Linked DNA regions of Cricetulus griseus. The protein of the gene in region 2 interacts with the protein of the main gene of each other region in a biochemical or structural test. Links are inferred from orthologs where the notes say so. Each region holds a gene or a part of one and is shown on either strand. Other genes may lie near its edges.

Evidence for each region.
Region 1: the proteins of Arfip1 (region 2) and Arf3 form a complex in vitro, tested with the Homo sapiens proteins (2 studies listed by BioGRID). The link is inferred for Cricetulus griseus from reciprocal best matches to the Homo sapiens genes ARFIP1 and ARF3.

The regions. Positions count from the first base shown.
Region 1 is NC_048595.1:395,235,533-395,239,448, forward strand, and holds the start of Arf3 (ADP-ribosylation factor 3), read right to left. Parts: upstream 2,288-3,916; 5' UTR 2,097-2,287; intron 1,340-2,096; 5' UTR 1,263-1,339; intron 1-1,262.
Region 2 is NW_023276806.1:69,867,257-69,871,072, forward strand, and holds part of Arfip1 (arfaptin-1), read left to right. Parts: intron 1-516; coding exon 517-612; intron 613-1,911; coding exon 1,912-2,024; intron 2,025-3,816. UniProt on the Homo sapiens protein: Plays a role in controlling biogenesis of secretory granules at the trans-Golgi network. Mechanistically, binds ARF-GTP at the neck of a growing secretory granule precursor and forms a protective scaffold.

The DNA.
Region 1 (3,916 bases), on a different chromosome or scaffold from region 2:
CTCATGGCAGCTCCCAACTGTCTGTAACTCCAGTTCCAAAACACCAATGCACATAAAATAAAAATAATTAAAAAATAAAACTGCCTCCCAAGTGCTGGGGTTAAAGGTATGAGCCATCACCACCCGGCAACAAACCTAATTTTAAAGAAGTTTCTTGTTCTCAATAGAGATTGCTCTGTCCTTTAATCCCACTTCCTCTCTTCATAAATACTGAAATGGGAGCAGATAAACGCACACTAAAATATCACCCTTAACACCTGATAAGATAGACAATTGCTTGTCTATCTCTAAATATGTCAGGTTTTTTTATTTTGTTTTGTTGGCGACAGTCTTGCTACATAACCCAGACTGGCCTAAACCTCTATCCTCCTGCTGCATCTCCTAGTGCCGAGATCTCCTCCGTCCCTTTTCCTGAAACTATAGCTAGAAACCTTGCTGATTGCTATACACTCCCATCCCTTTGTTCATCTTACAAAAGAAAGACTCTTGAGTTCAAACCCAGCACGTCTCAAAATAGCCAGTAGGGGTCTGTTGTGGGGACCCACACTGTAACCTCAACACTCAAGAGACAGAGGCAGCAGCTGTAAGTTTGAGGCCATCAAGGGGACTACCCAGAGATATCTTGTCTCAAAGAAAAAAGAAAAGAAGGGAGGGAGGGGAAGAGAGAAAGAAAGGAAGGAAAATTGACTGTGCAAGATGGCAAGACATTGAATGTGATACAAATGGGAGCCTTCCTTTTCCAGCTGCCTCCAAGGTCAATGATTCATTCTGTGCAAAAATGAACGAGTGATTCGAGCCTTTCTTAAAACGGGCTTTAACAATTTATTTAAACAGGACACAAAAGACCACCACCTCTGGCCACCGCCCATCCTGACACTACCCCCAAACAGGCCTAAGACAAAATGGCAGCAAAGACAGTCTCCATCTACCTGACTGGGGACAGATGCAGGTATGCAGAGACTAGATTCTATCCTGTTGCAATGAGTCAAGCAATCAGACTCCGGCAGCAGATCTCCTCCCAATAAAACTTTCATGCCATAGACCAAGGGTGACCCAATCCAGCGTCCGTAGAGATAGGTTTTACATTACCTTTCTCCTCACCCTCATGACCTTACTATTTTCTTCTCATTCCTGACCACATTCTCCTCCATCAGGCCCAGAGACCAGCAGTAACAGAACTCCCAAAACGAACAAGTCTCTCCAAAAGAGAGTCCACCACTTAACTAATCAAGTGGGGCTGCGTTTTAATGGGGGAACTTTACCTCCCCACCTCCCCCTTCCTTCAAAGGACTGGCGTAAGCAAGGGCTTCATTTTCTGTTCCGGGAATCCTGGTACTTCCTAGAGAAAGAAAGCGGATTGGAAGACACAAACTCAGGGCCAGTGACAAGATGCTCCCTCCTCCGATGAGACCGCCCCCGCTACGCCTGGGGGAGGAAGGCCCCACCTCTATCCTCCAAGCTAGCTCAGGTCCCCCTCCCCCTTCTCCAGCCTCCTCTCTCCACCCTCTCCCCACCTGCTGCCCTCTTCCCAACCTGCCCTTCCCAACACCCCAAAGCAGGGCGCAACCTCCATGAAAACGGTGGGCAGCGGTGCCCCACCAGCAGGCCCTGATACCAAACCCCGGCTCCCATGCCTCACGACGGGCGAGGGAGAATATAACCACAGCGAGGCTTTTCTTTGGTCCCCCCACAGCTCAGGCGGGGGAGAGAGGGGGAAAAAAGAAAAGAAAAGAAAAAAAAAAAAAAGGGCAGCATTCCTCATAGCCCTTCAACAGAAGGAAAAGATCCAAACAGCCACACCGCCCCCGCATCACCTCCCACCGGTCAACTCGCCTCCCCCTCAAGCTCGAAAGCTCCACCTCTGCAGCCCAGGTCGCCCCCTCCTCGGGCGAGGCGGAGGACGGAGCCCGCGTGCGCCCCCCCCGCCCCCACCCCGGCTCGGCGTCCTTCAGCTGCGGGGGCAGGAGCGGGGCTGGGGACCACCGCCCCCCGCCCCTCGCCCGGCAGGAGGGGCCTCGGGCTCCTCGGCTCGCAACCCGACCCAGCCAGCCTCTTCTCCCCTGCCCCGGACCCGCCTTCCCTCTCCAGCTCCGAACCTGTTCCTGCGCCCAGCGCCGCGGCTGCCACCGCCACCTCCGCCCCCGCAGGCTCCGCTTGGCTCTCGGGCCGCTGCCTCCCGCTTCCCCGAGCCGACCGTGGCGGCGACGCTGGTCCGCTGGCCCGCTCCCCGGCTCCCCTCCTTCCTTCCCTCCACCTAGCACCGGAAGCCGCGACGGCGACAGGAGATGTGCGGCGAGCCCCCACCCCCAGTCCGGGATACTTCCCACCTCCACGATCGCGCGAGAAGTGCGCGGTAGCGAGCGGCAGTTCTCGCGAGACCCATCACCATGGCAGCGGCTGCAGCAAAAAGCGGTCGGGTGCTGAAGCAGAGCCTGGTGTGGGGGCTGGAAAAGGCTGAGTGTGGAGATGAGGCTGTGGTGTGGGGACCGAGGTGCGGCTCCCAAGCTCCGGGGCCTGGCCTAGAATTGAGGACTGAGACCACATTCGGGCCGCGCTAGAGGCCCGACCTGAACAAGGGAGTGTCTGGGGTTTCTCAGGCTGAGCCAGCGGTGGAGTGTGGATGCGAAAACCTTTGTTGACACCTGCCCCTACTCCGGTCTTTATTTCTAATAAACACGCAGCACCCCACCTGCTGCTGCTGCTGCTCACTGATCCCTAAGGATGGTTTCTCTGAGGTCTGAATCGGGAGATCGTTTCTCATAATGGAAGAGGGGAGAGATTAATGCATTTGAGATACTGGAGGAAACGTCTGGAATCTGGGTCGTCTAGGAAGTTGAAAGACGAAGGGCAGAAATGTTAATTACCCAGAAGCAGGTCTGATGAAGTCTCTTTGGATGAGTAGCCGAGGACAAAGCACCCATGGTCCCTCCTTCCTTCCTTTAGACTCATTTTTCTTTTAAACGTGATGGAGACGCTGCTTGAGACTGGTTAGAAGCTATATTGGAAGCTGCACTAGAGGGGCCCTCACTAGTAAAACTGAACACCGCGTTCTTTTTTTTTTTAATTTTATTTATTTATTTTGTATACTGTGTTCTGTCTGCATATATGCCTGAAGGCAAGAAGAGGGTGCCGGATCTCATTACAGATGGTTGTGAGCCACCATGTGGTTGCTGGGAATTGAACTCAAGACCTCTGGAAGGACAGCCAGCGCTCTTAACCGCTGAGCCATTTCTCCAGCCCCCACCACATTCTTTAAATGCATGTCATATATGGAAAAACAGCTTTTCCCTAGAACCTGACCCAAAATTATTGCTCTTATCTTCTTCTGAGAAATAGGCTGGCCAAGTGGTGGTGGCACACACCTTTGATCACCGCACTCGGGAGGCAGAAGCAGACAGATCTCTGAGTTCGAGGCCAGTCTGGTCTACAGAAAGAGATCCAGGACAACAAAAAACTACACAGAGAAACCCTGTCTCAAAACACACACACACACACACACCCTGAGCAAATTGAGAACATGGGGAGAGGGGGGAGGAAGCTACGAGAGTGAGAAGGGAAGAAAAGGAAGGATACAGAGGTCATGAGGAAGCAGAAAGGTTGAGTCAGGTATAGATTAGAAGAAAGGACATATGATAGGTAGGATTTTAGTTGGGGGGGTGGTAGGGGAGAAAGGGAGGGAGAAGGGAACTGAGATTGTCATGTAATTCAATCTTGTTTGTAATTCAAATATATAAAAAATAAAAAAAGACTGAAAAAAGAAACACACACACACAAACACACCAAAAACAAAACAAAAAAAACCACAAGCTAGAGAGTCATTACAAGAAGAGGGAACCTCCATTAAGAAAATGATTCCATCAGATTGGCCTATAAGCAAGCCTGTGGACTGATTTTCTTTGACTGATGTGAGAGGGCC
Region 2 (3,816 bases):
GCACTGCATCACACTTGGTTTATGATTGGGAAAACTTGGCGACAGTTCCTACAAAGGCTGTAATTCTTACAAAAGGGCACGCTTCATTCACATTTTTGTAAAAAGTATTAAAATATGCTTCAGTATTCCTTTCTATACCTAAGCCTTTTCTTCATAGTATATACTGGGAAGTTATGAGATATATATTGAAACTATAAATTATTTAACTCAAGGACTTTCATGTGATTTGGTTTTGAAAACATCAGACTCCAGGGAAACTTGTTTAGATATGATCTTGCCAATTCTTTTACATAGTGAGGTGGTTTGTTTGGTTTTGATAGACTAATGACAGGTTTGTATAGAATTCAGCCCCTAGCATACTATTAGTCCTTTCCTGCAGGAGAACAAGCATATTAATTGTAATCTTAATTGCAGTGTTTGCCCATGTTAAAGGAATTGACACTCAATCTCTGTTCAAAATGTCTGACATATGGAGGAGGAAGTGGATTTTCACAGTTTAATGTCTGCCCTTTCCAGGTCCCTCAGCGCCACCTTTGCCATCTGTTCTGTCTCCCAGCAGGGTTGCAGCTAGTCAACTGGCTCAACAAGGAGGTGATCTAACTGTTCCTGCAGGTATTCACGGCACAGACTGAATGAGCCTCTCCTGCTGATGCCAACCTAACTCAGTTTCATAATTACTCACTCTGTGTTTGTAGGCGTGTGCTCCTCTGGCTGTTACTGTTGCTGCTGCTGCTGCTGCTGCTGCATTCTCTAATGATAAGAGAAGTCATCTTTCTAGCCATCGCCTGTCTTTTCAAAACAAATGGATGCATCTTAAAACCTGAAATTTAATGATTTTTAAATGTGAAAACATAGTAAAATATATTTGGTTTAGTTCATTCTCTCTTTTTTTCTGGCTGGTACAGGCCCACTTATTTGATCCTAACCTCTCAGCTTTGCAGCTCTGCCCTCCTTGCAAACCTAAAGGGAGCTTTGGGAGTCATGTTATTATTGAGAATGGATGGGTCAAGTGAAAAGGTTGTGTATTCTTGTCAGCCTCAGCATACAGATAGTTTGTAGCTTGCAACAAAATACTGAAAAATAGGCTGGATTTAGTAGTGCTTGATTGTAATCTCAGCACTGGGAAGGTGGAGGATGAAGCGTTTAAGGCTAACCTGGACCACATAGGAGAGACTCCCAAAATCAAAACATGAAACGAAAAGAAATGGAAAAACAAACCACACATTTCTTTTTGTATGGCATTAACATTTTATTTACTTATTTTTGCATTGCTCTGATTCTTACATCTATGTTAAAGCTATCCTAAAAGCTAATCTGGCTGTTGGAATAAGGTGGGGGAAGAAAATTTATACTCACCCTGATTTTTGGGGTGTGTGTGAGTACATGCGCATGTGTGGTCCAAAGGTCAACCTTAGTTGCCCTTCACCGGCCCTCTCTGCCTTTACCTTTTGGGGCCAGTGTCTTTCACTAAGCCTGCAGCTTATCAAATCTGTTAGGCTGGCTGACCAATGAACTCCAGGAAGCCCCTCGCCACCATCTGTGCTGGGGTTACCAACCTGCACCACCACACCCAGCTTTTTACATGGGTGCTAGGGATTTGAACATGAGTCCTGGTGCTAGTGTACCAGGCACTTTACAGAATAAGCAATCTGCCCAGACCAGCCAGATTTTTGTTGGTTTTTGTTTTTTAAGATAAGTTTGCCACAGATTTCATTTCTTAAAGTGAGACAAACCACGTGTTTGTTTAATGGACAGAATATTTGTAAGCAATTAGAAAATTATCCTGCATGGTTCTAGAGGCTCTAGTCTTTCACACAGTAGGGACCTTTGTATTTTTTTTATGTTTAAATAGTTCAGTTTGAATAGCATCAGGCTTCATTTTCTCTTTTGTCTTTTGTTATGATCATGCAGGTGGCCAGAGAACACACACAAAAGGTGGACCAGTTATTCTAGCAGATGAAATTAAAAATCCTGCAATGGAAAAGTTAGAGCTTGTTAGAAAATGGAGTCTCAACACATACAAGGTTTGTAATTTTTAAATATTTCCACCCTAACTGTCTCTAAGACTTTCCATTTATAAGTTATGTTATTCCCATTATCATATTTATTATGCTTATACAAACATATGAAAAATAATACTGCCTTCACATGAATATGCAATTTGGAAATAAAATATTTGTTTCATTATTTATCTTTACATATAATTTAAAATTTAGTACAAAGCAATTTTAAGAACACTTACTAAAACATTTAACTCTGACAAATAATACACCTATTTAAAAGAAGACAAAACAAAACAAAACAAAACCCAGTGTTCATGCATGCCTATAATTCTAGCACTTAGGAGGCCAAGGCAGGAGAGTTGTCGAAACTTCCAGGCCAGTCAGGGCTACATAGAGAAATGCTGTCTCAACACAGAAAGACAGACAGACAGACAGACAGACAGACAGACAGACAGACAGACACACACACACACACACACACACACACACACACACACACACACACACACGTTCTTAGAATATCTTTAACTAAAGAACTACTGTAGTGGTACTCACTCCCTCTCCTTTTTTGATAATTCACTTACTTCTTAAGAGACACAGTCTCATTTTGTTGGCCTGTCTGGGCTTCCCTTTCTGGGATCAAGGGATCCTTTGACTTCAGCCTCCTGAGTTATAAGGACTACAGGCTCATGTCCCTGAATGTGACCTTTTCTTGGTATTTTATAACAGACTAGTTCTCCAAAGTTGGAAACTGATTTTGTAATAATTCTTAACTGTACAGGCAGCACCAGATTATAAATTCAGCATGGCTGTTTGCATTATTTCCCTAATGATGTCAGCAAAACAAGCCAATTTTTAAATCTACAGCACATTTGATCCATTACAAATGTCCAAGCCACAAATCCACTTAGTACATGTGAATCTTAATAGGGATCAGACCTACAAGACATGGAATACTTAGATGAAAAATTCCAACAGCTCAGACTATAGCATGAGCTTTGTGTTTTGAGTTGGCTATGGGTCTAGTGGTTGCCAAATCAAAATTGCCTACATTTTTTACACATAGCAGTTTTTCTCTAACATGTTTTCTCAAGACTAAAGCAGGGTGAAGTTATTCTTTCAGTTAATAATTTTAAAATACAACCTGAAACCCTCTTTAAAAAATACAAGCTTTCTTGCAGTATGGGGTGTTTCTTGAACTTGTATATTCTAAGTCAGCACTCTATAACAAGTTTTCTTAATGTTTTTAAGATTTATTTATTTTGTTTTTTGTATGAGTGTTTTGCCTGCATGTAAATATGTGTACCATGTGTGTGCTATGTGCCTATCAGGAGAGGACAGCGTATCTCCTGGAACTGGAGTTCTAGATGGATGGATCCCATGCGGATACTGGGAACTGAAACTAGGCCCTCTGCAAGAGCAACAAATGTTCTTAACTACTGGACCATCTTTCCAGCCCCCAAAATTTTCTTAATAAGATAACAGTGCTTTGAAATCTACACGAATCTTCCCAGAAGTTTATGTCATCATGTCACCTGAGAAATGCTGGTGGTAGTCTGCAAAAAGTGCTGCCTACATTCGCAGTTCTTCTCACACAGGGCATTCCTTATAAGTCCTTGCCCTTCTGTTCTCAGGGGTAGGGATATATGATTTCTGCCTTTATGTCCTCTCGTAATACAACTGTTGATTAATTGCAAATCTTCATCCCTTCTTGTTGATCTACATATCTAATCAGTCATTAAATCCTGTGGACTCCCTTTGTTTTCTTCTACTTTTTCTGTTCCAGCTTTCACAGTCCTAGTCAGTGTTTATT